2 linked regions of the Struthio camelus genome follow. The protein of the gene in region 2 purifies or fractionates together with the protein of the main gene of each other region. This does not show direct contact. Links are inferred from orthologs where the notes say so. Each region holds a gene or a part of one and is shown on either strand. Other genes may lie near its edges.

Region 1 (14,127 bases), on a different chromosome or scaffold from region 2:
GCACAACTCAGAGGGACTTAGATGCAAATCTACAAGGACAGAAAAAGACAAGAGGAAAAATGGAGAGAGGCGAAAGTTTTATTCCTTGAGCCAGAGTATGTGCATTCACATCGTAACAATTAATTTTCATAGGTATAGTGTTGTCAGTGTGTGAGTGTCTGGCTTGGGACCCCATAGCCAGCTGAGCAAGGTTGTGAGGGTGCACGCTGTGGTCAGGATGGAGCGGGCGCTCTTCCCTCCGCCTCTCCATCCAGGGAAGTGAAAGACAGAGGTCTCAACTTGGCAGCAAGGCAGGATTCACTTGTAGACAGTGCAGTGCAGAGTGGGCAAAGCCCTTCCTGGCCTCTTGAGCTGTTACTCTGGAGAGGTGATCCGTGGCAAGAGAGAGCAACACCAACAGCCTTGCTGCTATAGTCTGGAGTGACTGAAATTCAGCAGGGCAATGGCGACTCGCAAAGGTTAAGGTTGCAGCCTTGGCAGTTAATCAGACTCCATTGTTTGTGGCTTTTCTGCTGCCCACATCAAGCAGCCTGCCTGACAGTTTTGCAAAAAGAGACACGTGAGTACATACATAAATTCAATTACCATGACTGCTTACACTGGAGCTTACTTCAAGAGCAGCATCGCATACGCTTAGGAGCGAGTGCTGGCAGTTTGGGGCCTATAGACTAATGCACACACTCCACATACTCTTTGTCCATAGAGAGCTACTTTTGTTTTACTTTTGAGATATCACTTTTCTTTCCTTCTTCCTCTTGTGTATTTATTCTTGTGCAAGGACTGAATTAGTGGTTAGCTGCTCTGGATCCACGTGTCTTATCACCCACTCATCGACAGCCCATGGGAGACCATAAACGCTAAACACCCGAGAGTAAAACCAAACATTTTTCTTTATAAATATCAGGATAAACATGTCAACCACAGGACTTTCTTTTTCCTTTGGTGTAAACAAGCAAACATCTTTGGAAAGGTTTTTTTTTTTGTTTTTGGATGGAGTGGGGAGAAAGGCTTGCAAGGGTGTCGTCTTGCATGAAGTATATTGGGTTTGGTGCGTGAGCAGCTTCTGTAAAGTGTACCCAGTTCTGCTGCTGCAGGGCAGTTCTTTGCGTGCCATTTTTTTTCTGAAAGCAGCCTGCAGAGCCCTGACAAGTTTGGCAGTGAGCAATGCAGGCCTGGCGGAGATGGAGCCGGAGTCACCTGCCTGCTCCTGGTATGCCGAAAGCCCCAGAAGGTTCGCGCGGAGGGGCCAGCAAACAGTTCAAACGCGCTATCGTTGGGCAAATGAAAACATTACAGCAGCTGAGGACCATTTCCTGGTATTTCACTGCTGTTTCTTAGCAAGAAGAGGGGGGGAAAGAAAAGGGTCTGGAAAATATTAAATTGGCCCCAGAGGGCATATTAGAAAAAATCTGGAATTTTGCAGACATTAACTGTCTGTTGCACGGCTGTGTGTTTTTGTTGGAAATCCAGCAGAGTTATGTAACATGTTTGGGCTTCTTAAACTTTTATTTCTTTTTCAAAATTTTAAGGTACCACCAGAGCTTTTGGCTCATATTTTCACCATTTTAACAAAGTAAGCTTTAAGTGTTTGCTCTTTCTTCTGATGAATAGCTAAGCTGATTTAAGAACAAACACAAAACCTAAACAATCCTCATTCAGATCTGGATTTATGCAGAGGTTCGCCTTTCTCTTTTTGATGTGTGACTCTCACTGTAAAGTGGCTTTTGACAGCGGGCGATACTGTTAGTTTATATACTTTCAGGGTGAGGCTGTCTTTGGGGTAGGAGAATTATTGAGTGCAAAGCAGTAACAAGGACATAACTAGATGGGGAACAGTTTAAACGGTTTAGCAGATCCCCTTTTTCTTTCTAATCTTTCCAGGCGCATATATCATGATTATAAAACATGTCTTTTCATTTTGTTTCCCAGACATAGTGAGGTTAAGTTTGCCACATCTGTCTGTCCTTTCTCGACCTCCCACATTTTTGGCTTTGGGTAAAAGAGCGGTTCCCCCCCCCCCCCCCAAATGGGAGGGGAGGCTGGAAAAGGAGGTATTCCTGCAGCTGAATAGCAGAGTAGGAAAAATGACATCTTTTCTCAAGCCACTTAAAACTGGTCCTTTTGGGGGAAAGTTTTTTTGGTTAGGTTTTATTTTGGAGGCATCAGAAGTTAATGGAAGTGGTGGACAGAGAAAAGAGGATGGGTAAGATGTGTTTCTTTTTAACATGTGAAGTTGTCCAGTGCTTTCTATCAAAGCAATCCACAGGAATTAGTTTATTTGCATTTGCTGGTTGCAGTTCATGACCCAGGGTGGTCACAGGTCTTGGAAAAGTGGGAGATGCAGCTCTTTGTTCCTGATGGGAATTACTTTCATGCAGCTTTTTATAAACAAAACTCAGACCAGTTTGAAGAAGTGTCTCAATAACATTGTTGCTTATTAGAGGGATAGAGGAACTGGAGGAATTCTGACAAGGTAAAGTGGCTATGTCTGTCTTGAGGGACTTGAGGTTTCCAGGCCCTAACGCACACTTCAGCCCTCTCAGGATGAGATTCAGGCTTGTTTCATCCCACCTCCCCATACGTGGAAGGGGATACGTTGGCACAGAGGCTGGAAGGGAGCCATACTGTACTCAGATCAGGAACCTGATTAGAACAGCCAGGGCATCGGTCACCCCAGGGCTAAGCTCCATGCAGCTACGGGTATAAAACGTTGCTGGTACCAGAGTCAGCCTGTTTAAAGCATAACGACGTTTGTTAAGATAAGCTAGTATTTAATGATTATTGTACTGAGTCTGGAATTCAGTCTGGAAATATTAAACCTGATAAAACCTAATTTCCCCTCGACTCTGCATGTTCACATTCCTGCTCAGGAAAAAGGGGGTTTTGGACAATGATTAACACCAGCACTGCTCCTGCATGGTTACCAGAGCTGTGGCTTGTGCCTTGCATCGGTGCCTGACGCTCTCAGGGACCTAGCACAGCTCAGCACATCTGAGATAGCATTTCTTCTGCTGTGGAGGAGAGCACCTTGTTTCTTCAGTCTGTAGAACTGGATGCTACTTCTAAACTCCTTACCGCAAAGCTGTACTGTTTGTGCAGACTTTGAAAAGTGCAAAGTGTTATGAAGAGTTCATTCTTTTTATTTTTACTTGACTCTTAAATTGTGCCATTTAAGGCACAATGCCTTACATGCAATGTGTTATTGTTCACGCGAAACACTGTTGGCTGAGCTCTGTTTGTTGAAAGCGCTCATAGACTGGTCTCTCCTATTTAATACTTACTGTGTATCTTTTGTATACTTATTTTGATCTCTCCTACTTAATACTCTCAGTCCAGGGAGAATGAGAGGAGTATCATTTTTCTTCTAAAAAAAAAAAGTAATTTTCATCAAGTCTAAATAACGTCAATAATAAGAAACAGTCCCTTAACACATACTGCTTAGTTAATGGGAGACTTTTGGCAGTCAGGCACTGGAATAACAAAACTGTTCGGTACTGAGGAAAGCTATGTATTTGAAGCACAGAAGGCTGAGAATTGCAGAATGCTGACAATATATGCAAAATTTAGGAGCTGCTCCTGTTCCCACTGCACTAATGATAAAAATTCCCCGGGCTTTTGAATGAATTTGGATTAACTGCTGTGCAAATGATTTTTTCTCTGAAGATCCTCCAAGACAGAAGCAGTCATGAAGTAAATATCATTTTTGTGTTGCTCAGTAAAAATAATGGCACCAGAAGGAAAAGGTTCGTCTTGCCTGACTAATCCCTCTCCCACCAAATAACTGGCTATAATTTCATTAATGACTCCAGACCTGTGCATTTCCTGGAGAGTTAATGGTGGACTTCATGCTAATAACCCTCACTTTGCCTCAGGCCATGGTCATTATTCTCTAGGAAGTGACCTATGTCTCAGCAACGATTACTTAGTTAATGTGAATCCCGTACACATCAGTGCATTGTTTGTTCTTTCTTTCCCCAGACTCCTTGGTCCTCCTTAACCTCCCTCTGGTTTTGCTTGTGAGAAGGCTGAAACGTACCTTTTCTAACTGCTAGCAATGGTGGAGGAAGTAGGAGGGGGGACTGAGTAGTAAGGGGAACTCTAGAGTTCCTTCCATTCATATTTACTGAAATAATGATATGTCATTAATACTTGCGTGCCCTTCCTTTAAATAAAAACAGGTTTAGTATTTTCTTTGAAAAGACACCCTTTTCATTGCAGGTGCTGCACTGGATCAGGTTTGTGGTGATGAGTTCCCTGAATTCCTGATTATTGGACACTGAGAGCATTCAATATGTCAAGGATAGGCACACAGTCTTGTAGAGCCAAAATGCAATTCTCTTGTAATCATGAAACAAATAACCACCGAGTATTTTTGCATACAGGTGCCAGAGTTAATGAGTAACCCAGAGGGGAACAGAGAATTTGAGTCCCAAAATGCTCTCAGTTGCTCACGTTAAACTAAGTTGTACTAAAGCTCTGTGGTCTCTTTTGCAAGATTAGAAGACAAGCTGCCCAGCAGCACTGAAGAATCTGTCTGCTAAAGGAAGTGGTAGCACTAGTCAAGATAGACATAACTTTAATGTTATCTACCGGAAGCATGATCCGCTGTTCCCTTCTAATGCCCACAGAAGCTGGATGCTTGATTCTACTTTGCTTTTGAGCAAAAATTACTCCTCCTCCTCTTTTTTTTTTTCTTCCCCTAGGACAGGCAGCAGAGACAAGAAACCTTCACTTGAGTAGTTCAGCTTTGCAAACCATTTCACATATACCAGGCCATCTTCAGAAGTTGTCAGTAATTAAACTTAGAGTAAAAGCAGTAAAGGAATGGAAATGATAATTTAAATATGGTAAAGCAGTGAAAAATCCTTTCTCAAGGGGTCGATACTTCTGAAGTTATACCACTTAGCTTCTGCAGAGGGATTTCAAACCTATACATAGCCACTCCTACACTGTCAAACTACCAATACTGACTTCAGGTCTCTCCTCTTCCTATATAAGGTCTTTTATCTGTGGAGCAGTCAGCAAGCACCAGATGAAGTAACCCCACTGGGAGTGGATGAGCCAATACAACTGCTAGCTGGAGAGGTTGCTTTTGACTAGCTCATAGAAGTCACCTACGCACATACACATTCCTGTATTATAACTCCAATGGGTTTGAGAAGTTTCAAATATAGCTTGTTACTCACGATTTGCGACTTCTCAATGAAAAGCTTACATGACAACATCAGACCGTGGCATTACCTAAGAACAGCACTTGCTGTGGCAGTGACCCTTCCTCCCTTAATCTGTTCCTCGTCCTGCAAAAATAACATATTTGTGCATTCAGACTCTGTGAACAGTGTGTTGGAGTAATAGCAGCAGGGGGACGGGTAGATTTATGCAATGAAAAGAAGCTGTCAGCCTAGAAACCACCCCCATGTAGGCTACCGAGTGCATACCTGAATTGCCTGCTGCAACCAGAAAAGCCCTACCAGTGTTAGGACTGCTGGAGTTCACCACTTAAATTATTATGTATCCGAGGCTGCTTGCTCTAACGACACAACTCATTTTGTGAAGCAAAATGGCTTAAGTGTCTTTAAATAAAAGAGCGCCTGCTCTAATGGGAGCCAAGCACTGGGTCAGAGCACCTAAGTGATACAAATAACTAACAACACTGTTGAAAACAATTTAACTGTTTCTTCCTTTTTAGCTGTATGAAAGACAGGCTGTTTTGAACTAAATCCTAACATGCCAGGTGTTACCACCACGCAAACGTTTAGAAACGACTTCTGATCTCTCCTGCTGGCAGTGGAAGAACAAAACCCATCGGCCCAGTGCCTCCAAATCCATTTTAAGACGCTGCCGCCAGGCCATCGAAGTTCGGGTAACAAACTCCCACTGGCCCAGGCACCTTTTCACACGGCAGGCGGGAGGGAGGTCGCTCAGACGCCGCTGGAGCTTCTCCGGGCGCCCGAGAAGGGCGGATCGCCGCGTCCTCCTTGCTCGCGGCGCAGGGACCCGGGAACCGCGGCGAGGGGGTGCCCGCAGCCCCTGCGCAGCCGGCCGCGCTCTCCTGTCCCCTCCTGCCCGGTAGCAGCGCGCGGCGTTTCGCCGGCGGGGAAAATTAAGTCGCGTTAAAAAGCCAGAGGGAATTAAACTAACGCGCGCGGGCAGCCCGGCGGCGCGTAAGCGGCGGGAAATCCTCCCCCGCCGCCCCGGCCCGGCCCGACTTCGCCCCCCTCCTGAAACCCCGCTCCCAAAGCCGTCCTGGGGACGGACGTTAAGCAGGCACGGCGGGAGCCCGAGCTGCTCGTCTCAGCGAGGCGCCTCTCTGCCCTCCCCCCCCGCCACCCCCCCCGGCCAAAAAGCCGTGCGCGCAGCCGGCCAACGCCGCTGCTCCGCCAGTCCGGCGGCTCTATAGCACCCGCGGCGCCCGTCTGCTGCCACCGGCCCCGGTAGGCGCAGGGAGGCAGAGGCGGCCGGGCAAGGAGCTGCGCCATGGCGGGCCGCGGCGGCTGAGGGGCGGGCCGCCCGCCCGCTCGCCGGGGCTGGGGCCGGCGGCTGTCCCCGCCGCCCCATGGGCTGCCGGCTGAGCCTGGCGGGCCTGGGCCGGGCGCCGCCGCCGGATCGCCGCCGCTGCGTGGCGCGGGAGGAGGCCGAGATGCAGGTGTGTGTGGGGGGGGCGGGGGACGAGGGGAGGTGGCCGCCGCCGCCCCGTCCGCGGGGCCTCACAGCTGCCGAAACCTGGGAGGGGGGACGCAGGGGCACCGCTCCGCCGGGGAGCTGCCGGGCCCGGCGTGGCCGCGCTGCTGGGGGCGGCAGGCCAGCACCGCCCCGCCCCCCCAAAAAGACAGCACCCCAAACCCAAGAGTTTGGGGTTATGCCGGACCGCTTTTCCCCGCGCGTTGTGACCGCTGCTGGCGAGCTGCCGGCGGCGCAGGCTAAGCCCGCCGTGGTGGCTCCGTCCAGCAGCAGTCCTTTTCGTAAGGGGCTCGCGCCGGCTAGAGACCGTTAGCGTGACCGTTAGCGTGAGCGTTGGGCGCGTCCCTGCGCGGGAGGGGGGGGGGGCGCTGCGAGGCGGCAGGCGGCCTGGCAGAAAGTTTGTCACGGCTGCCCCAATCTGCCCTTTTTTTTCCTCCACGCCCCCCCCCCCCCAACCCACCCAACGTTATTGCCCTGCGGTCAGAAAACGCGCGTTGCTCTGAGGCGACGTAAGGATGAATCCCGGGGGGGGGGGGTCAGTCTGAGGGACGTGTATCAGCTTTTCAGGGGTAGGAAAGTCTGTCCAACTTCAAATACATTATTATTATGTCTTTTAAGCCTCTGTGATTTCAGTCACGGGCTCCCCTTGGCTTTATGACTCTGGTCAAAACGAGGGAAATTGCCCCAGTCGCAGCCTTGCAGGCACAAATGCAAACAGGAGCGCCCCAAATCCCGCTGGAGTGCTAGCCAAGAGTGCCCCAGCCCAGCGCGCGCCTTCCAGGGGCACGTCCAAGCATCCCTGGCTGGCTAGCCAAACCTCTGGACCTTTGAAGCCCCCACCTCCTTCTGGGTTACCTCTGAAAGCTCAGTTCAGCTGTGGATTTAAATTAACGCTTAATTTCAAGCATGTGTTTAAATGTTTTTGTCGCCTTGGGTCCTGTGCGCTGCAGTCATCCCCCCTCTCCTCTTGCGTGCTTAAATAAGCATCCTCTTTCATTTCAAATCCCTTCTGAAAACATACTATTTCTGTTGGAACCTTTCAAGATTAGTTTCCCAGAAATTCATGAATAATATACCCCACAAGGGGTAAACTGTGGAGACGTGCTGAAGAATCGTTACTGCTTTGGGGCTCCCTGTGGCCATCTCATGTGTGCCCTGTCTGTGAAACCATCTCCATCAGTCCTGTGTCTCTCATGTCAAACCCAAGTGGCTTCAGATATCCATTTTATTGTAGAAAGCTGCCAAGGGAATCTTGAGTGTGTGTTTCCCTGCCAGAATTGCTCTCCTTTGAGGTGTAAGGTGGCCAATGTTCTATCCTAGACAAGTGACTCATTTAAAGGGCTGAAATTTTGCCTGCTATCAGGATTAGAAAAAGGAACTTTATTCTGTTTGAAAGCAGATATCTCTCTAGTGATCTCTTGCCAAAGTGACGTGGATCAATATTAAACCTGAACAACATAATGGAGAATGAAGAGAAAAATTACTGTAACAATTTTTTTTTTGCAGAGATTGCTGAGTTATCAGTTTTTTGGTAGCTCCAGCACCATGAATAAATGATCATAAACTCTCCTCTCTTAAGAGGACAGCGAGAGGGGGGGAAAAAACAAGCACTGAGATAAGGAAAGCTGGTGCTTTCCTTAGCATCTGTGTATAGGGATATTTAATTCCCTGTGGGGAACACCCCTAAGCAGGGGTGTGTGTGTGTGTGTGTGTGTGTGTATGAAACAAATGAGCAGCAGGGACTGCTGGGGCTTCACCACCTTCAGGAGCTGATTAGATTTAAATGAAGTACCCAATTCTGTGAAAAGGATGGTCTGCATTCTTCTCTTATTTGCAGTAGTATAAATCAAGAGTTTCTTCTCTGAAGCCAATTATATTTCATCAGTTTAAAATTAGTGTGAGTGATAGGGGAAGCTGGGCCAGTAATTCTCAAAATATTGGTTATAAAATGAGTTTAAATGATGGAGTAGTCTACAAAGCTGGCATAGGCTCCAATTTGTGCTGCTATTATGGAACAGAAAACATGTGGGCAGGATGTATTAACATCAGTGGCTTTCTTTTACATCTGGAACATGAAAAAGCAGGCAACAAGCAACGGCTTAAAATATGAGCTTTCTATATTGTTGAATTCCTATTGATCTTTCTCTTCCAGCAGGAAGCTATATAATTATACAACAGGCCATCTGAATGTCTGCCACTATGTGGCTGAAATAATAGTAATATTAGACATTAACGTTCTGCCTCAGAATATGCCAAAAAGTCTTAGACCAAAGCTGAGGAGGAAAATAGCCTGAATTTGACTCTAGAAAAGTATTTTAAATAATGGATCTATTTTTGATTTTTTTTGTATTTTCTGAGGGTTTTTTTTTTTTGAAATTTTCTAATATATTTACACTAGGCATTTATTTTCTCTTGAAATTAATGGAATTAACCTAAAGTTGGCACTACTGACACAGGTTCAAGGTGACTTCTGAAACAGAGTGACTGTTGAATTCCCAGCTCGATCTGGACTGGACTCGGAGTAGAATGCAAGCACTGCCTTTGGCTCCGGTTTTGTAGGCAGCCTTTTCTGAGCAGATCCCCGTGTTACCTGAAGACTCATTGTCTTTGTGTACAGTATTGTTAGGGACCTCGATGAGGCCAGACTCCTTAGTGTTGCAGTTCTTGGGATAGTTTTTCTCCTTGGGAAGTGAGCGTTGGAGATGAGACTTGTCTGCATGTGGTTTCTGGTAATTTCACTTCAAGGACTGATGTTTGTAGAGCTAATGACAATTTATGATAAAAAGTACCTGTGTTTTGCATTGCTTATTTCTCTTGAAAAAGAAATAAGGTACACAGTTCTGCTATCTTATGTCAGCAAGAAAAAAGCAATAGTGGAAACGGAAGTATAGAGTAAAGCAACTTTTTCAGGGTGGTTCATCAAGTATATAAAAGACTTCAGGTTTCCTGATCCTCAGCATAGTTCTTTTCCATTGAAGTATGATGCTTTTTTTAAGTAATGAGTTGTCCCTTGTAAGTGGACAAGTCGGAGTGGATCTCCATGTTGCCTTCTTTATACAGTAGGTGTCCAAATTATATCTTAATATCCCTGATTCTGGGTGAAAGTGTGCAAACGTGAGGATGCTACTCTACTTCAGAGAGCAGTCAGCTTCCTGCAGGGAGAAGATGGACCATTAATATTCTGGCTTCCACCATTGATGACTTACTTGCACAGATGCAAAGAATAGGAAGAAAACTAGTTCTTCCCAGGAGGAAATATTTTTAATGGTTTTGGATTGACAACTAAGCACATAGCAGCATTGTGGGCACAAACTGCCCACAGGCTCAGAAGTCTTTAGCTTCATTTCCTTGTATTGTGTTATGCAGCAGAAAATTCAGGGTAGAACAACAAGAATCGTTAAGAATTTTTTTTTTTTTGCCGGTGTTATGTCTTCCGTGCATATTGCAGGTCATGATGGCGGCAACTCTAAAAGACAGCCAATGGGGGCATTATTAGTCAAAGCCTATTAAATCAGCTGATGGATCCAGTGGGCCAATAACCCTTTTGTTAATAAATGAGTTCTTTGATCTAGTTTGTACATTTTAAAACAAAGTGACATCATTATCATATGTAGATATGATATGATCATATGTAGATGGGAACTTAGCCTATGTATCTTGCTCCCCCTCTCTTACTTAAACAGTCACGTTAACTCCTGCAATGATGTCCCTGGTGCTGCCATTGTTTAGTACATATCTTAGGGAAAAGGAGGACAGCCTAATATGGACTAAGGAACATTAGGCAACTAGAATTTTTTCCAGGATCTGGTTCTTTAAATGCAAGTTTCCTATCCTCATATTTTTAATGACCAAGGAAAACAAAACAAGGGATTTTCAAAAACCTCAAGCACTTTTATTTAGTATAGCATTCAGGTTTCCGAGTGGCTTCAGACAGGTGAAATAATACATCAAAATGTAAAGGCTGTTAACTGGAAAGAGTTACCTCGTCACTTTATTATCCTGTCTTTGCCTTCTGTCTGTCTGACTGTTGTGATTTGTCCTGTGGCAAATATACTGGATACTTCTCATTCATTTTAGTCTAGTTTTGTGCTGGTTTATAGGAAGAGGGAAGTAATGTCTTCTAAAAAAAGAAATGCAGTTTCAAAACTTAACTAACAATTATTTCCTTAGAGGAAACAATAAGCAAAGAAGGAATTAACACACTTTCTCCCTCCAAAAGAATACTATGTGAACGTTAGAAAAGAAAAATCCTCAAATTGCTTGGTTACTGCCCTGAGCTGACATCCTGTCAGATGAACAACTTTCCCATGAAGCTTACAATGGAAAGCTATTTGTTTGGAGTTTGTGGGTTCCTTTGAGCATTGCTGTGGTTTTATAATTTCAGAATTGTTTCTCCCCTCAGATTACATATGCTAAATTGTATTCGCCCAAAAGAAAATTTGTAGGTGGTTCTATGGGGCTCTTACGTAAAGAGACAGGTTTCCCAGATCATAGATAGTCTCTTGTTATCCAGGAAACCAATAGAATAAAAGTATCAAAGAGAATAGTGAGGGGGGAAAATGTATGTGTTGAATATGTAAGTAGGTGCGATCTGCTTCAACTCTAGTTAGTTTAAAGAAAGGGAGGTAAAATGCTTTCAATCGCCCTGGCATTTCATAAAGCTGCTACTTTGCATGGGTTCAGATAATAATACATGTCATATGATCACTGATGGGCTTGCGTAACTATGCAAAGCAATGATTAAATTATCGTCATTGTTATTCAAATATGCCCATTCTTTTAGGGGATGTGGAATGAGATCCATGCTCCTTTTCCCATTTCTCTTTCTTTCTAGCTGGTCCTTCCTCCTTTCCTCGGGGCTGACATGGCTCCCATGGCCATGTCAAGCAGACATGTCAAGCTCCCGTGGCCATGTCAAGCAGGAGCAGAGAGCGCTCCTGCTGATTTTAATAAATGCTTAAGTGGCACTGGTGCCCTAACGGCGCTCTCTTATCTCTCATGAAAATGTAAAATGTTAGCAGCGTTTCCCTTCCCTTCCTCCTTCTCTTTCTTCTACTCATTACATACGAGATTAAGGAAGTATCTCTGCCGAGTCTGCCGTGATTGAATGTGTACTAGCTCACGCAACATAGTTCTTAATTGAACAAAGCACTTTTGAATATTGTTTAACATTAAGTGATTTCTTAAGCCTGTTCCTATTCAGTAAAATATTTAAGTGCTCATGCGCTCTTGACATCAGCAGAACCTGAAAATAAATATTAAACATGATGAAATATTTGGCTGAATTAAAGCTTAGGCTGGTGACCCATGGATGGTGCTGGTCATGATAACTCTTCCCCCCACTTGAAGAAAACCATACTAATACTCTTCCTTATGCCTTCTTATATTTTCCTCCCAGGAGATAATGTCTTTGTGTTTCCTTTTGCTTCGCTGGCTCCTCTCACATGTCCTTGCAAAAACAGCTTTCTCACCTGCTGTCCTCTTTTTCCCCCTAATTTGGCTGTCTAGATTCCATGATGCTTAGGTATGAAATTGTATCTGCGATGTGTCCTGCCTGGTATAAATTTCCACATGTTTAACCCTGATATTTCATGTTCTAACAACTGAGAAATAGGTAATAATTCTTTACTTGACTCTGGTATTTCTTAGACGTCTTTTTGTTTGTTTTGTTGCTTCCAGTGGTAGGACTTTCCATATTAAGTTTTCCATCAATTCCTTTTGCTTATCTTCCTCGTTCAGAAATGTTTTTCTTGGTCTCAGTTTGCCAAGGCAACAAATGATTGGAGTGATTGGCTCGATACTGTTTAAAGTGACATTGGTTTAGCCATCAGATGCTTGGAAAACCAGGTCCCAACTTCAGATGTCTTAAGTACTCCAAGATGAATTGCTAGTTGTTTATGTATAACGTTGATCCTGGTTTATATATCTGCAGTTGCTGAATTAGGATCAGATTCTGCATCTCTTACAGCGACAAAACTTACAATGCAAAGTCAAGCTCTTTGCAGCTCTGCTGTTAGCACTGTAAGAGACAACAGGTACAACATAAAACACGTAAGTAAGGTTAAGAATCCTGATTCAGCCTCATACAAACTCTTAGCTGATAATGACTGCTCAAAGTTTCCAGGCATGCAGAGATAATTCTTACCCGGGAAATGATTTATACAGGATATAAGGCTCTGGGACCAGTTAAAATTCAGATACCCTACAGAGAATTGGACTTAGATTTCAGGGTTTTTTTTCCCCCCACCTCTCGCGTGGGGCAGTTGTTCACAGGATCCTTCATGTTAGCTGCCTTATGTATGGGCTGGGTGGAAGAGGCGTATGTGGGGAGCACCGTGGAACGAAAGGGGGATTTAAGTTTGAAGCCAGCTGAAAGCGTGCAGGAAGCTCTGTAAGCTGTTACGCTGCGCTCCCTTTCTTTGTTTATGTGAGTTCTCACCATCTAGGTTTGACTGTTAGAAAGGCTATGGTACATAGTACTTCACAAGTACTATGTACAAGAGAGTAGAAGGGCAAGAGAGTCCCAACGGCTGGATGTTGAAGCTGCCTTCATGTTGTGAATTCATTGTGTGTGACCTGGCACTTTCTCCGATTGATCGCTTTTAGGAAAAACCTTTTCCTGCCCTATGGCCAAAAAAACCCCAAATGTGAAATGACTTTCTCTCAAAATGGATGAAGAGAAGATAGCAATGCACTAACTTCTTGTTTCTTTTCTCCTTCCAGCCTGTCCTCTTTTCAGTACAAAAAAAGCCAGGATAAACAGGATAAACTTTCCAGCTAGACAAAATTTTACATTCCGGTTGTGTTTGCTTGAGTTACCGTGGCAAAAAGTAAGCATGTGCCTACACTAGTGCTGAGTGTGTGCTGGATGTTTCTCAGTGTTCGCAAAGGATTGCCGTTCTTTTTGTCCTGCTTTGTAGTTCCTTGCAAGGTGGCGGGGAGAGGAGTTTATGACTCCCTTTCATGACTACTGAAGGCATTATGAGATAGCGTTTGGCAGCTCACCCATTCAGGGCTTTAACAGTGCTTTTTTCCTTAGAAGAAGTGTTTTAAAAAAAAAAAGTAAAGGATTTCTTGCATTTGTCTAGCATTCTCTGCAGTCTCTGTTCTATTATTTCAGCAGTTTCTGGATCAGAAATTATTCTCTGCTTAACTGGTAGTTTGTTCTATTTGGAGAATTACGCTGGTTTCTTGTTAAATGATCTGTTAGTTATAAGATCAGATGGGAAAAGAAGTTTGGCCTAGAAGGCACAAGGCTAGAAGACACAGTGCAAATATTTTCGCTAGAGAAGTAGAACAAGAATAAGTGTGAGAAACATCTGAAATATATAGGGACATCTTTATGCTTTATGTCTCAAGCAGTCACTTTAATTGAAGTTCTGTCTGAAAGGTACTTGAATTCATTTTGAAGCATACCTCCACTTGCACGATTAGCAGTATACCCAA
Region 2 (14,918 bases):
CCTGCTACCTGCCGACCTTTGCATCCGAAAGCCGGCAGCCCGGGCACGGGAGCGGGCGTCCTCCCGCGCCGGCTCCCGACCGCGGCCGAGGCGCCGGGGGCTTCCACGGGATGCGATTCGGGAGTGGGAAGCAGGAGGACTCCAGCGGCGTCTCCGGTCGGCAGGGACCTTCCCAGGGAAAAACAGCCGCAAGAAAAACGGGAAGGCGCCGGATAAAGGCCCGGACGTTATCCGCAGCCACGTGGGAGCGTGGCACCCAGCTCTGGATGCTCGCGAGCCCCCCAAGGCAGACCGCTCTCGCCCCGGCGGCCCGAGCTGGGGGGCTCGCACCCCTTCCAGCGATCCCCTTTGGGGGCCCAGAGCACCCTGAAAAACGGAGCAATCCCACAGCAGCTTCAGCCGGGCTGCCAAAATCACGGCTTTCCTCTGCTGCCCGCCCCAGAGCTTGCGCAGCGCCAGCGCAACCTCCCCCGAGCGGCGGCGGGGTCCCAGCCGCCCCGTCCGCCCCCGCCGCGGGCCGACGGCTCCTCTCCGAGCCGGTGGCAGGATGCGGCCGGACCACCGGCGCGAAACCACCCGCGAACCGCGGCCAGGCGCGAGCGGCGCCCGGCGGGAAGCTCCGGACCCACGCCGCAGGCTGCACCGGGGCAGACACGTCCGTCCGTCCATCCATCCGGGGGCCCAGCGCTCCCGCAGGCGAAGCTCCCCGAACGGCGCGACACGCTCCCCCCTGCTCCTTCCCCGAGCCCGTCTGCGGGATGGGAGGGAGCGGGGGGCCGGAGACGCCGGGGTGGGGGAAAGCGGAGGAAGATGAAGAAAAAGAAAAAAAAAAACCTATCCAAGCTCAGCAGAGCGGAGCAGAGGCCAGGAGCGTCCTTCATCGCGTTAAGAGGAGCTGGGCTTTGCCGGCTCCCCCCAGCTCTCCCGCATCTCCCGCCGGGGACGGCCGAAAAGAAACCCCTCGCCGGCTGCGGTGCCTCGGAGGGGGCCGGCGGCGGGCAAGGGCAGGAGGGAAGATGCCGCACGTGCATTTCAAGCCCGATGAGCAAGTTCGGAGGAGGCCCGAGGGAAAGGGCTGCAGCCAGAGCCGTCACGTCCCGCACCGCTCCCTAGAGATGCTGGATGTCAACCGCCGGCGGGGGCAAGGACGGGACCGCGCTCGCCGGCGCCGGGGCAGGCATGCCCCTTTCCGGGTGTTATCGCAGGTTGTTTTAAGGAGGCGGCGAACCCCCCCCCCCCCGCACTGTTTGCTTCTCTCTCTTGCCTCTCCGTCCCTTTCCAGCCGCTGCACCCCACGACGGCTGGAGCCGGCGGCTGCCGCCCCGCGCCGCGGACTCCACCTCAGCAGGCCTCCAAACGTCTCGCCCCGGCCGAGGGGACAGCCGTGCTCCTCTTCCCGCTTCGGTCCCGGATACGGAGGGGACGTCGCCTCGGCGTCAGCCCCCGGCCGGCGGCGCGCGGCGCCTTTCCCGCGGCCCTCCCGGCTCCCGGAGCCCTTCGGCTCGCCGACGGGCGCCTCCGTTTCACAGGCGGCTTTAGCTTCCGCGGTTAAGAAAGGGTCATTCCCGCAGGAAAAACGCGCGCGGGCTCCGCGCACGTCCAGCCTGCTCGCCCGCGGCCTGCCTAGCCGGCGCTTCAAGTCTTCTCCCAGCGGTCTACTCGAAGTTTCTTTAAACTTCGGAAACAAGAAAAAAACAACAACAACACACACACAAAAAAAAAAAAACGCAACCCAAAAAAACAGCCGACGACGTCCTCACCCTCTCCACGAGATCTTATCAACGGTTATTATGAGTAACACCTACAATTACCCTAATCGAAAGAAAAACGTTTCTCTTTTATCTCATCAGCGAGTCGGCTCTGCTCGTTCTCAGAGACCGTTGGGCTGCTCCTCTCCTCCTGCCCCCTTCAGCTGCCTGCGTCGGCCCTGAGAGAGGAAAAGGGTTTTGCTGCTCCTTCTTTAAAAAAAAGAGAAAAAAAAAAAAAAAAAAGAGAGAAGATGTTGCTGTCAAACCACAAAACGCGCCTGGGGGATACTCGGAGGCAGGTGGAGGCCCCGAAGGCGCTCGAGATGCTGCTCGAGGCCTCGCCGACGCGGCCGGGTGGGGGGGGGAGGCTTTTCCTGCTCGTTCTCACCCACTTCCCACAAAATTCACGTGCTTTTAGCGCGCCGGAGCGGCGCGTTTCCCCCCCCCACCCCGACCCCCTATGTCGTCCGGTCTCCTCGCGTCGGCCCACGGCCTTCCCGGGCCTCCGCGCCGGCCGACGCCGTTCCAGTGGCGGTGCCCTGCCGCCGTCACACCTCACCCACCGCCGCCCGGCCTGCGGGGGCTCTTCCCCCCCCCCCACCTCCCCGTTTGTTTTTTGGCACGAGGACCCGGCCCCTCTTCGTTCTCGCTAGACCTGCGAGCAACAGCCGTTCCTATTAATAGCCGTCGGGGCGGTATCGACAAAAAGCGCGGCCAGACCCCGCGCGGCGGCTGCATCCCGCTCCCTCTCCCCCCCACCACCCCGGCTGTGTTTCTCTCGCTTCCCACGCCGGGGAGGGAAGCCGGGGGGGGGGAACCCCGCCGGCGGAGCGCGCCCCGCCGAGCCGCTAACCCAACGCGGCGGCGCGGCCCCGCGTGTCGGCCCAGGCGTCGAGCGGCCGCGCCGGACGGGGCGGCCCGGTCGACGCGAACCCGCCGGGCGCAGGGCCACCGAGAGCCCGGCGCCGTCCGAGGGCGCGGGAGCAGCAGCGGGGCGCCCCGACGGCCCCCCCAAGCCCCGTCGAGGGGGCGGCGGGCGAGCGGGAGCGGCGCCGTCGGGCGGCCGAGGACCGGGCTCGCCGGGCGCCCCTTGGCCTCGCCGCCGCCCGCGGCCGCCGCGCCGCAGCGGCCCCGACGGCTCCGGCGCCGCCGCACCGGCTCTGCCCCCCGCTCCCCGCCGCTGCCCCGCGGCGGCCGCGCCCCCGGCGGGCGGCAGGGCAGGGCGGGCCCGGCGGCGGCCCGACGCGCTCAGCGCACGGATGAACGGCGGAAGGTTGGGGAAGGGGGAGGGGAGCCGGGGCCGGGCCGGTCCCCGCCGGCCGAGCACTCACCTCCGGCGGGCTCCGGTGCGCGGCCGCCGCCGCCGCGGCGCGGCGGGCAGGGGGCGAGGGCAGGGCAGCGGCGCTCAGCCCGCCGCCGCGTACTCCATGCGGCGCCGGCGGGGCCTCCGGGCTCGGCTGGGCCGGCGGCGGCGGCGGCGGCGGCGGAAGGGGAGGAGGAAACAAAGCGGCCGCCGCCGCCCCGGGGTTCCGCTGCCCGACGCGGCGCCGCGAAACGTCCGCTGCGCTGCGCTGCGCTGCGGCGCTGCCGGGCGGGCGGCGGCGCGGCCGCTGCCGCGGGGCCGAGGGGCGCGGGCTCGGCCCGGGGCGGCGCTGCCGGGGCCGGCGGGGCCTGCTGCCAGGAAGCGACGCCCGGAATCGGTGCGCCCGGAGCAGCGCGCCTGCGCCGCGCCGCCACGGCCCGACCCCGCCGCCGCCCGCCGCCCGCCGCCCGCCGCCCGCCGCCCGCCGCCGCCGCCGCCGCCGCCGCCCGGGCAGCGCGGCCGCGCCACCTGCCGGGCCACGAGCGGAGCCGCGGAGCGCGGCGGCGGGGGGGGGGTGAGGGGGCGGCCGGGCCCGCGCACACGCCGCCCTTCCCGGCAGCGCACGACGCTGCTTGGGCTTCCTGACCGGCTCCGGGCGGCTCCGTAGCGTCTCCTGGGCACTTCCCTGCCGTTTCCCTCCTTGCACGGGCCGTGCGCGCCTCGTCACTTACTGGCTCCAGCCGCGCTCTAGCTCTGCAAGTGGCCTGCGCTGATTTCGCAAACGCCGAGCGGGTGCCCACCAGCCCGAACCCGGCACCCCCAGCGCGCCCCAGCGCGCGCGGCTCGCTGCAGCTCCCCGGCCCTGGCACCCGCCGCACAGCCTGTCTGCAGGGTCGCCCGGGGTCAAACGCGGCTGGACCCCGGCTCAGGCCGCTCGCTGCCTTTGGAGGGGACGGGGCACGGGCGGCGCGTCTCGGGGAGGAGGCCGCGAAACGCTGCGGACGCCCGGCCTGGCTGCGCGGTGGGTGAGGGTGGGGGGAGCAGGCCCATCATCCCGCTCCACGCGCCAGACTCCAAATCGCGAGAACCGTGCCAAAATTAGGCCGGCGCCTCCAGGCAGCAGCTGCAGGTGGGAGCTGCAAAGACCCTGGAAAACAGGCTTAAAAAGCCCGACTCCCTTTTGGCTTGGCCCTGAGAAGCTGCCGGCGGTGACAGGAGACGGGGGTCCCTGGGGGACGGGCAGGGCTCGGCGCAGCGGGCAGCCCTAGGCGGGCGGCGGGAGCCTCGCGGTGCGGCGCTTTCCTCCGCAGCCGGGAGGCAATGCTGCGCCCCGCCAGGCCACGGCTCTCCCGGCGCTTCTCCCACGAGGCTCGTTTACCGCCGTCCCTCCCTCCGGCCAAAGCGCCCCATCCAGCGACGAGGCGTTCGCAGACTAAATCATGCCTCGCAGGCTCAATTAGAAAGAAAAAGCGCTTGTCACTTCCTGCCTCGTATCGCAAAACGCCGCGGCCATGTAGGGCAAAGCAGGAAGCGCCGGCGCGCGCCTCTCTTCGGTTTTTTGCTTGCTCTCGTTTCTTTCCTTGCTTCGGGATCGTCCCGCCCCGACGCTGGCGACCGCAAGTCAGCGGGCTGCAAGCGTGCTTCGCCAGTTGCCATCCAATCGCTTTACAAACCGGCGCGGCTCCCTGCTCGCCGCTCGGCCTGGGGGACGCTTCCCGGCGCCTGCCGCCCCGAGCGGCCCCCGGGGCCCGCCTGCCCTGCCAGCCCGGCAGGACCCGCGCCAGCCGCTCTGAATAATGCCATTGTGCGGGAAGGGGTGGCCTTGGACTTCCCTGCACGGAGCGCTCTCCTCCCCGCTTCGCCCCGGGGCTGTTAGGCAGGGGGTGCAGGGACCCTGCCCGCCCTCGCCTCCGCCCCTCTCCGCTGAGATAGGGGCTGAGCGCCGCTCCGAAAACAGCCCCGCGGCCCGGCCCTGCGCGGCTGCCGGGGGGGGATATCTCCCTGCCGCTCGCACGCGACCTCCCCGTCCATCGGACGGTCTCTCCTGCCTGGCCCGGCGGTGAGGATGAGCGCGAGCAGAGCAAGCAGAGAAGGAAGAAAGAAAAGAGATAACAAAGCGATGGAGACGTCCCGCGAAGGGGGCGAGGGGACCGCAGGGATGCGGGAGGAAAGGCAACAGGGAGGCTGGAGATGCCGGTACCCAGGGAGCGGATTGTAAAGCCCCGTTCACTTCTGGAGGGCGCTTTCCTGTGCACGGTGTGCGGGAAAGAGCCTGCGACCCGGTTTCGCCGGGTGTCGGGTGAGCCCGTGCCGGTCGTGCAGACCTGACTCCCGCCAGGCCCTGAGCCCCGTGCGAGGAGCTGGCGCATCGCCCCGTGGTTCGCAGGATGCACCCCCCGGAGAGGGGCAGGGAAGGCCCCGCCAGCAGCAGGTCGGCTTGCTTCCCCGCTCGGCCTCACGCAGCTACCAAGCGGAGCAGCCCTGGGAGGAAGTGAAACCAGCTCGTGCATCTGTTTGCACCAGAAATGCACCCACAGATGCAGACACAAACCCACGCACGCACCCATAGAAATGCACCCACCCAAGCTTGCGTGCCCATAAACGCAGGGCCGAGCGTGCGCGCGCCAGCACCCCTCCGCGCCCTCACGCACTGGCAAACGCAGCCCAACGCGGGCACCTGCGCGGACGTACCTGCCCGAGAGGTGCGTGCCCGTGTGCGCACGCAGGCGTCCGGATGCGCGCACACATCCGCGGTGCACGCAGAGCCGCAGCATCACCACTCGCTCATCGGGGAAAAATGCTTTGCCTAGGTGCCCAGGCTGGCCCGGTCTGGAGGGGGCGGGCAGGGAGAATGGGGATGAGGCTCGGGATTTTCCCTTGTGTGGGGGCTGCAAGGAGTTTTGGGGGGCAGATTTCTCTTGCAATAGTAACTGCTGTGCAGAAGCACCTTTCCGGGCACAGCCCCGCACGCGGCCTGCCGGCTCGGGGCATCCCTTCTCCCGGGCCCTGCCTCTCTTCTGGGAAGCAGCACTGGGACTTTGGGACCTTGGCTCCTGAAGGAAAACACAAAATGTGAACCCGGCCCGGTGGGGAACTGTGCAGGTGGCTCCAGGCTTTTGCAATCCGTCAGACCTAGAAGGAGGCCTGGAGAAATAGCCCCACGACCGCGTTGTCCTGCCGTGCTGGTTTTAGGATGGTGATCAGCAGCCCCTGCTGTGTCCTTCTCCCTTTCCTTCTCTCCTCCTTGATGGTGAATGGACACAAACAGCCTCCTCCTCTTTGGGTTTGTCTCGTTCGCTCGTGGGCTCTGCTGCACCTCCTGGCTTATTGCGCGACGGCCAACAACCTCGCGTGTCCAGAGGTCCTTGGAAGACGGCTCTTGGGCCGAGGTGAGCAGCCCAGCGGCCCCACCGGGGTTCAGAGGAGACCTGCGGCTGCCCAAGCACACAGACCCTTGTGCCCCGGGCTACGTCGTGCAACTCCCCAGTGTGCTGTCGGACTGCCGTGTTGGGCTGATTTCCGTTCCTGCTGGAAGTGTTGATCTCCTACCTGGCAGGAGGTCCCAGGACCTGAGTGGGTTCAAAACTGATCCGGCTGGGGAAAGGCCAGATTTGCTTTAAGCTGGGTGAAGTCACCGGTCCCAGCGACTGCAAGCCATGAATGCTGGGGCTGCTGGAAGGACGGAAGGAAAGGGAGGACGTACGGCCAAGTTTAGAGGGGAAGGTGGAGAAAGCGGGACTACGGGGACAGTAGAAATGCCACAGTGCAAAGGAAGGGTGAGGGGAACGATGCTCGGGACACAGCTCGGGACCCCACCTTCAATAGTCTGGGAAAGGGTCCCTGCCCGTGCCACGGCCTGGCCTGGGCCGCTGCGTCGGAGCCACCCTGTTTGGAGGGCTGGATTTGGAGAAGACGTGGGCAGCCACCTCCTTGCTTTGCACCAGGAGAGGGGGCCCTTCAGCTGGTGGGAATCAGCCTGCAGGAAAAGGGAAAGTAAAGAAAGGAAAAACTGCGCAGCAGCGCCTGTTGTCGCTGGGGGTCCAGCCGAGGAGGAGCCGAACTTCCTCGCAGGGCAGAGAGCCAAGGCCAGGCTTTTGGCGGAGCTGAGTCGGCAGGATGGCGAGGAGGCGCAGGGCTGCTCTCGGCCGCGCTTCCGGGGAAAGGAGGACGAGAAGGAGGGACGAGGCCCGGGAGACGCTGCGCTCTGCTGGGATGTGGCAGATCTGGCTTGCGCAGGCCAGATCAGTGGTCCTGAGCTCCCTCGTCCGGCCCAGCGGGAGTGGGCTGGGGGCCAAGGGGGGCTTCTGACCCTTCCCCAACCGATGTTCCCGGTGCCACCAGGAAGACAAGCAGTATCTCACCCACAGCTTGCCCCGAGGCACCTCGTCCGTAACCCCCTGGATCTTGCTTCTTTTGGCCCGTAAACACCTCCTTCGTCCCTGCAGCAGCGATTCCCGTCCTGAGAATAAAATCCTGACCGTGTAATATTCCCACGCCAGGCCAGGAGGGACCCTGGGCACCCGTCCACGGTGAGTCACCCGCCGTAGCGATCCGGGATGCGGGCCGGCAGGAAAGTGATGCTGAAGGCTTTGCCTTTGTCCTGGAGGAAGGGATGCAAGAGCCAGAGTCCTCTGCCCCGTCTCCCCGATGAGACCTGGTGCGAGAGGAGCAGCACGTGGCAGCCTGCGGGCGCTGCGAAGGCTGGTTTTACGCAAACGGCCCGGCAGGTTCGCCCAGGCCCCTCCGGGGAACGCGCCGGTGCCAGACCAGCTCGGCGTGGGGTGGCATCTCAGCGACCGCGTGCTGGCAGCCAAGCGCTGGACGCTTTGGGGAGTGCTTAAGCGTCTAAAACAGGGGATAGACCTGAAGCCAGGTTTCCTAAAGGAGCGAAGCGTGGGCAGTCACCGATCCTGCGGATCTGTCTCGTCTCTGGATCTCCTGGCTGGTTTTAGCCCTGGCTGGCAGTGGCGCTTGTGCCTCCAGGGCTTTCGGACAGTGCAGCTTGGGCAAGAGCCGGTATCCAGAGACAGGAGAGCCCCGCAGACGAGAAGGTTGCTGTATTGGCTGTACTAGACAGCTGAGAATCCACACTCATGGGCATGAACTTCCTAGGGAAAGCCCGAGTGAAGGATCCCAGCTTCCTGGACCCTGGGGAATTCACCTGCGAGCTGATGCCGCGGGAGGGCGTTCGCGTCACGAACACGAGAGACGGGGACGCAGATGCTCCAGAAGCGCCCAAGGGACTTGGGAACCGGCGTCCGCCTCGCGGCTCTCGCCGTGCCGGCCCCGGAGCCCTCTCCGGTGCCGAGGGCAGCCTCGTTTCGAAGCCTCGCCAGCGGAGCCGTCATTTTGAGGACGATTTTAATTAAAGCAGGGAGGGGAGCAAGTGGGGATATTGCCTCTCGGCACGTCGCTCTTCTCCTGAGGGCGATCGGGCCAGACTGCGCTCTGCCCGCGTCCCTCCAGCACCGGAGAGATCGGTACCCGGCCCTCTTCGTTTGCTAGTAAAATCTGGGCTCTGATTTCATGTGTGTCCCAAATTACCTCTTCGCTGCCCCCGTGCTGCCCGTTTTTGGCCCGTGCCCGATGCGGGGCACGCTGCAGGGCAGAGCGTTGTTCCCTGCACCCATCCCAGGGCTTTTTGGCTCGCGCTGCCTCTGCTCGCTGGACCAGGCTCTGCGGGGACGCCCGCGCTCCTGGCGGTGCAGGCGTCCCCCCGGGCTGCTCCCCGCTGCCTCCGTCGTCCACGGATGCGTGCATGCATGGCTGCGTGGGGCGCGGGCGGGAGGGGGCCGGCTCGCAGTGCCAGGCAGCCAGAGGAAAGGCAGGTTTCGGGGCAGTTCCCAGGAGCCCAGAGCTCTCCTCAGACAGCCCCTTGCGTGCGGGGAGCGGCTATCTTGCCATCTCTTTCTTCCCGTCTTAACCTGGGGCCAAACTCCATCCTTGCTTGCTTTCATGTTTTCTGAGGAACATGGTGCTTAATTGTGCCTCTAATGACTTGGCGCAATCAATTAGCCAAAACACCCTCTCCTTTCCAGAGGGAAGAGGGAGGAGGGATGGGAGGAGGATAGCTCAGGACTGAGTTGGGAGCTCTCAAGAATTAGTAATTCCTGCCAAGCGTGAGGAATAATGGGGGGATGAGATCCAAGCCAAAGTGCTTGGGGATGCGAGGGGTGTGGGCGGGCAGTGGTACCCGGGTGGTACCCGGGGGACAGAGCAGTGGGCACCAAATCCAGCGGGGATGATGTGGGGAACGGAGATGCCAGCTTGCATCCGAATCCTGCTTCCCCAGCGCTGGAGTATGTGGGCCTGGGGCTCTGGGCTGAGGCCCTCGCAGCTTTAGCGGGCTCAACTCGGCCGGCTCGAGCTCTCCCCTGTCTGTGGGTCCAGCCTGGGCAGCGCTGAGGACCAGGCGCCTGCTCCAACCCTGCTCCGAGAGAAACTGCCCTGGGGAGGCTGCAGCGGCTCCGGCACCCAGAGACTGCTCCGTGCCGGAGCAGTCCTCCTTGGGATCTCGCTGGCGTGCCCGAAAGCGTCGCTGACCCCTGCCGCGCTCACCGCCACGGGGGCACCGCGTGAACACCCCTTTAGGTGCTGCAGGGCCCCACCAGCCAGGTGAGACCCTGCGGTTTTATCGGTGGCCCGAGGGAGGAGGGAGCACTTTGCATGGGAGCCCAGGAGGAGCGTCGCAGCATCAGTCTGGATCAGGATAAGCGGCTAAGGGGGGGGCGACACAGAAAGCAGGTGACACCCCCTTCCGCACCAAGGAAACCTGTTGAAGGCCCCAGATAGGTTTCAGCTGTATCTCCAACAGCACTTGGGAGACTGAACTCAATTTCTTTTTTTTCTTTTCCTTGGCAGAAACGTGCAGCTTTTGGTAGTTTTTACAGGCATCCAAGGGTTAATCCCGGAGGGCAGATGATATCTGATAGCAGATCTGGGGAGGGGGGGATAAACAGACAGCAAAATGGAAGAGGGAGCCAACATCAGGATGATGGAGCTAGGTTAGAAACACAGGATGTGCTTTTAACCAGGCGGGTCGTTAAATGTTGGAGCAACCCCCCTGGGGAGGTGGTGGGAATGCCAAAAGTTGGCATCCAGGGAGGAAGGACTGTTCTGCAGGTGGCTCCTCTAGCCTGGGTCCCGGCTGAGCCCAGGAGTTATAGTGTGGGGTTTCCTGGCGAGGAGATGCCCACCGGCCCGAATTCCCGGCTCTGGGTGCGAAGGAGGTCTCCATGGGCTCTTGGATCTCTCACAAGACGTGGGGAGACAGTTCTGGACAGTGTCTGAGACCTCTGCCTGTCCTGCCATCTCGAGGAAGGACCCCCACGCAACGCTCCCACCCATGTTCACGGGTCCCGGCATCCCTCCTGCTGGAAGAGGGGTCAGCCGCAAAAAGAACATGTTGCCAAAGACTTAAGTGAAGCAAGACCAGACTGGTGGGGGAAGCCTTGCTGCCTCCCCTTTACGGGGGAAACTGAGGCATGGAGCGAGGCAGGCCATAAGCTGCTGCGCACGAAGCACCTCTGGAGGGTGCAGACTGGGGGAAAGGGGTGAGCTCGGGCACGCGGGATCCTGTGAGCCGCCTTTGGCTTCGGTGGGGAGAGAGGGAAGACGCTCGCGGCACGGCGAGGCAGTCCAACACCCAAGCTATCCCCCTCTCGCGCGGGGTGCGCTGCCGGCGCGGCTGGCCACCCCAGCTACTCGAGCCCGCGGGCAGCGTGCCTGACGTTGCAGGCTTTGGCCACCAAGGTGCTGTGATCAGCCTTTGTCCCGTTGCCCGGCTTGGCGACTTCCTTCCCAGGTGCTTGCTCGAAATCAGTGGAGGAAAAGGGAGGAAAAACAACCACTGAAAATCCCCGAGTGAAAAAAAAACCCAGAACCAGAAGGGGGAGGGGAAATTTGCAGAAAATCGATCCCTCTCTACAACATTTCCCAGGAAGCTCATTTCCCATTCCCTCTGAGGAATGGGCCAGATCCTGCCAGGCAAAGGGCTGTATCGGGGCTTGGTGACCAGCGTGTGGCCTCGTGGGAGGAGCAGGTTGGCCTGGGCTGCTGCCGGGCGCTGGGGCAGCCTCGCACCATGGGCTGTGGTCACTGTAGCCCCCTTCCTCGGGGGGTATCTCATGTGCTCAGGTGATTAAAACCACAGCTGGGGGTGATGCTGTGGCTCTCGGGGGACACTGGAGCCCTCCTGGGAAGGACCCCCAAGGCCAGTGCATCATCCCAAGGACAGACGAGCTACAGAAGGAGGTGCAGAACTGTGGCTACTGCGGGGAGGAACGTGTCTCAGCCCATGCAAAGGGACAATCAAGATCAAAACTTCCCCACCACATGCCTTAGGGTCCTCTACAGCCTCTCCCAGCCTACAGGTTTACTCTCCGTGGCATGGATGCAAGGAGGCCACGGTTTAAAGGTCAGGCTCTGATTCACTTTCCAGGTATGACCGGGATGCTCTCGAAAAGAGAAACAAGAGCTCTGAGTCCTCTTTTTTTCTTTCTTGGGACCCCTTTAGAGTAGGACTTGCAAGTGCCTAACACATCTGCTGACCCTGCAGACACCCAGCCCTGCAGGGAGCTTCTTCACTGCTCTGCAGTTGTTTAGCAGCTTGAAGGCTGGCGAGTTTCTATCCCCAGCCAGTTTTTAAAATGAGCGGCTCCTTCTCAGCGCCCACCTCCCCTGGCTCGCAGACGCCGTTCAACGCCAGGAGGTGCCGGCCGGGTCCTTTCTGCCAAAACTGCGGAAGTGCTTGAGAAAGAAGGTATGTGGCTGCCTGGATATTGCCCTGCTGGAATGAGGGACCCGTGAGCATCACCACCTTTGTAAGAGGATGTAGAGCCAAGCTGTGATGGCCTAATTGGCCAGTTCATTTTAAAGCCAACAATAAAAGCAATTGGCTGTGGCGTGATAAAATCTCCCCTAGCTTATCACCATGCCAATTCCGGTAAAGAAATCACAGCACTTGCAGTCAAGCTGGGGATTAGAGACTGGAGGATTTAACTGAGGAAGATCACTAGGGAAAAGGCAGAGATAGGGGAGCAAGAGTCCCTTATCTATTGCAAGCAATGTGGGCTTTCATGAGACAAACTGATGGATTTGTTTCTCCGGAGGCTGCGGGGAAGAGGAAGAGGCAAAGAGTTAAGATCTGCCCAGGGAGAGGGCACCGCAGAAGGAACCAGAGATCCTTGCTCCTTCCTCGCAGAAGAGCCCTCAGGGCTGGGGTCTCCTGACACTGCTCTGCTCCAGAGCTATCGCAGAGCAAAGAGCAGTGCAGAGCTTGGGACACCCTCCCTTGATGCCTGGCCTGTGCTCGCTGCTCTCCTCCAGCCCAGGGCTGCGGGGTCTGTGCCCTGCATCATCCTCCGTACCCCGCAGGCCTGGCTGCATGCCTGGAGTCACCCGGTCTGCAAGTGACAGCACCCAAGTGTGCAGCACGGAGAGCCCCCGCGTGCCGGGGAGCCTGCCGAGGTACATGGCTGAGAAAATGGCTGGCAAAGGAGCCAGCTCAGCTTTGCTTCCCCAACCGTATTGTCTAGGAACGGGCAGGACCTGTTGTTGGGGTGCTGGGCTGAGCTCTGCTCTTGCAGCCACAGTGCTCCCGTGCCCAGGTGGTAGAGGCAAACAAGAGAGGAGCAGAAGGCAGCGGGGGAAGACAAACGGCCTCTGTTAGCCTCAGAGTAGCTGGGATTGAAGGGTCCCAGCAAGAAAACTGGGACCTTACCTGCAGTCACCAGGCTTTTGAAGGGACCAGGATACCCAAGACGACATGTGCATGCAAGACCAGACTTCCACAGCGGCTCTGCTCCAGGCACGAGCGCAGACCGAGGCCGCAGCAGACGGGCTGCTGTTCTCTGCAGGGGCCGGGGCTCAGCATGGCTCCCCGTGTGCCTCGGAGGCTGGTAGCGAAGGCTCCAGCTCCCCAAAACCGCATGGGATGGCTCCGACTGCCATCAAAGGGAGGGAGAGACGCAAAATGAAGACTGAGGTTTAAAGAAGTGGGGTGTTTCCCCTCTCACAGCAGGAAGAGAAGGACTACTTGAGGAAAGGCACCTGGATGGGGAGGCCCAGTAAGTCTGCCCATTTCTCTCCCCTCGAGCCCTTTCTCTTCCCCTTCCCCATCTTGAAATGGGGGCGACTTTTCATCCCAGCTCTCTGGCCTCTGGGTCTGCAGGCTCTGCCCCACGCAGATTGGCAGCAGTGACCCCGAGGAGGCCACCAGCCCTTGATAAGTGCACCTCAGGGAGGCCTTGCACTGACAAGGGGCTGTTTCACCTCAACAACGTTAATATTAATCTGCTTATCTGCCCTGGCGCTATAAAACACCCAGTGGGAAAAAAATTTCCCACTGCTCTTTCTTTATATCTGCGCTTGCTTATTGCAGGCCTTATCAGCAAACCCAGCCAGAATTTAGGGCAGCAAAGTCACGCAACGGCGCCAGCAAACGGGGCCTCTGGTCCTACACCAGAATCAACATCGCATGTTCACCTAACGGCTTCAGGGAGGGCTGCAGCTGGAGGGAAAGCATCTTTCTACAGGGCTGCTGGGCCAAGTCCATGAGAACCTCTCCACTACCTGGGGATGGTGTGACATGCTGCCACCGGCTGCCTGGCAGTCCTGGCTCTCTTTTGAATCAGTGAGTTAAGGACTGAGACCTAAACCTGTCTCCAGGATGATCCCAGCCTCTCTATGTTATAGCTGAATGCTGGCTTTAGCATGGCCCCTGTGGCGTCGAGGGGCTTCATGACTAGGTCCCTGCAAAGGTAGAGGCAATGTTTTTCAGCTAACGGATGTCATGGGTTGCGCTAAACCATCCTTCTACGTTTCCTCCAAGGCCCCTGAAGGGCGGCTGGAATATGTCAAAGCTTAGACCTGTCTCTCAAACCATGGCCTGGACCTTCCTGTTCTCACCTTTATTTTTCCTGCAGTATCGGGATTGTGACATTGAATGGTGAAGACGAAGCCCATGTGGCACTGGACGAGGTGACTCCAGCTGGTTAAATGAATTCAAGTGGGCCTGAGGTTGTATCTTTTCAACGTTTCATAACAAAATGGTGACCCCAGATCCAAGGCACCCTGCCTCTTTCAGCCCACTTGAAGTGGCTACATCAGTATCTTTATTAAACCTAACCAGACTTTCTCTTCCACAGAGCAGTTCCACCCGTCAGTGGAGAGCAGAGCAGAGACGGACCTATCCACGCCTGAACTCCAGACACATTTTTACTGACCTGTTATCCTCTACATCCTTTAGTGAAGACCAGATAGCGCCTGGACACAGACTGAAAAGGAGTTGCTCCTTTTCATTTAGGCTTGTTTAACGGGTCTGAACACCTCCCTCCTCTTGCTGGAATCTCCCCAAGTTCTTGGGCAATCGGCTTCCCCATTTCCTTCCCCAACATGCTGTTTCATTTCTCTCTCTTCTTGGAAGTTTTTGTGCAATGCATGATGAGTGATTGGTATTTGGACCTGAAAGAAGCTCTTATTGGTCAGGGGTGGTGGTTATGGTTGAGCAGATGCAGCCCATGGGATCAGATTCAAGCGTGTTGCACTGAATGGTTATGCTTGTTCTTGTATTGTTGGGTGCCAGTTACTGGATTGGCTAAGATGTCTTTGCGTGCAAGCAAACAACTGGTAGTATTGTGATAAGAAGATGAGGTGTCTGGCTCTGCTGGCATGGGTTGACTGAGAGCCAATGTAAACTCAACGGTTTGAGTTGGAGAAGATCTTATTTTCCTTCTCTGCCTCACTGTGAAAACACTGTTGCTCCATCCAGGAATACCAGCAGCCTGACTTTCTTAGCAGCAAGGGACTGCCTGCTCTGCTTGGTGGGCCATCTGACCCCAGTAGACTACAAAACTCATGTTAGGTGC

The links.
Region 1: the proteins of CSK (region 2) and TNS3 purify together in Homo sapiens (affinity purification with mass spectrometry; 4 studies listed by BioGRID and IntAct, with this or other methods). This does not show direct contact. The link is inferred for Struthio camelus from reciprocal best matches to the Homo sapiens genes CSK and TNS3.

What each region holds. Positions count from the first base shown.
Region 1 is NC_090943.1:64,493,372-64,507,498, reverse strand, and holds the start of TNS3 (tensin-3), read left to right. Parts: upstream 1-6,528; 5' UTR 6,529-6,556; coding exon 6,557-6,646; intron 6,647-14,127. UniProt on the Homo sapiens protein: May act as a protein phosphatase and/or a lipid phosphatase. Involved in the dissociation of the integrin-tensin-actin complex. EGF activates TNS4 and down-regulates TNS3 which results in capping the tail of ITGB1.
Region 2 is NC_090953.1:23,419,053-23,433,970, forward strand, and holds the start of CSK (tyrosine-protein kinase CSK), read right to left. Parts: upstream 5,815-14,918; 5' UTR 5,800-5,814; coding exon 5,743-5,799; intron 5,436-5,742; exon of another isoform or gene 5,421-5,435; coding exon of another isoform or gene 5,376-5,420; intron 4,482-5,375; exon of another isoform or gene 4,430-4,481; intron 3,224-4,429; exon of another isoform or gene 3,080-3,223; intron 1,940-3,079; exon of another isoform or gene 1,812-1,939; intron 1-1,811. UniProt on the Homo sapiens protein: Non-receptor tyrosine-protein kinase that plays an important role in the regulation of cell growth, differentiation, migration and immune response.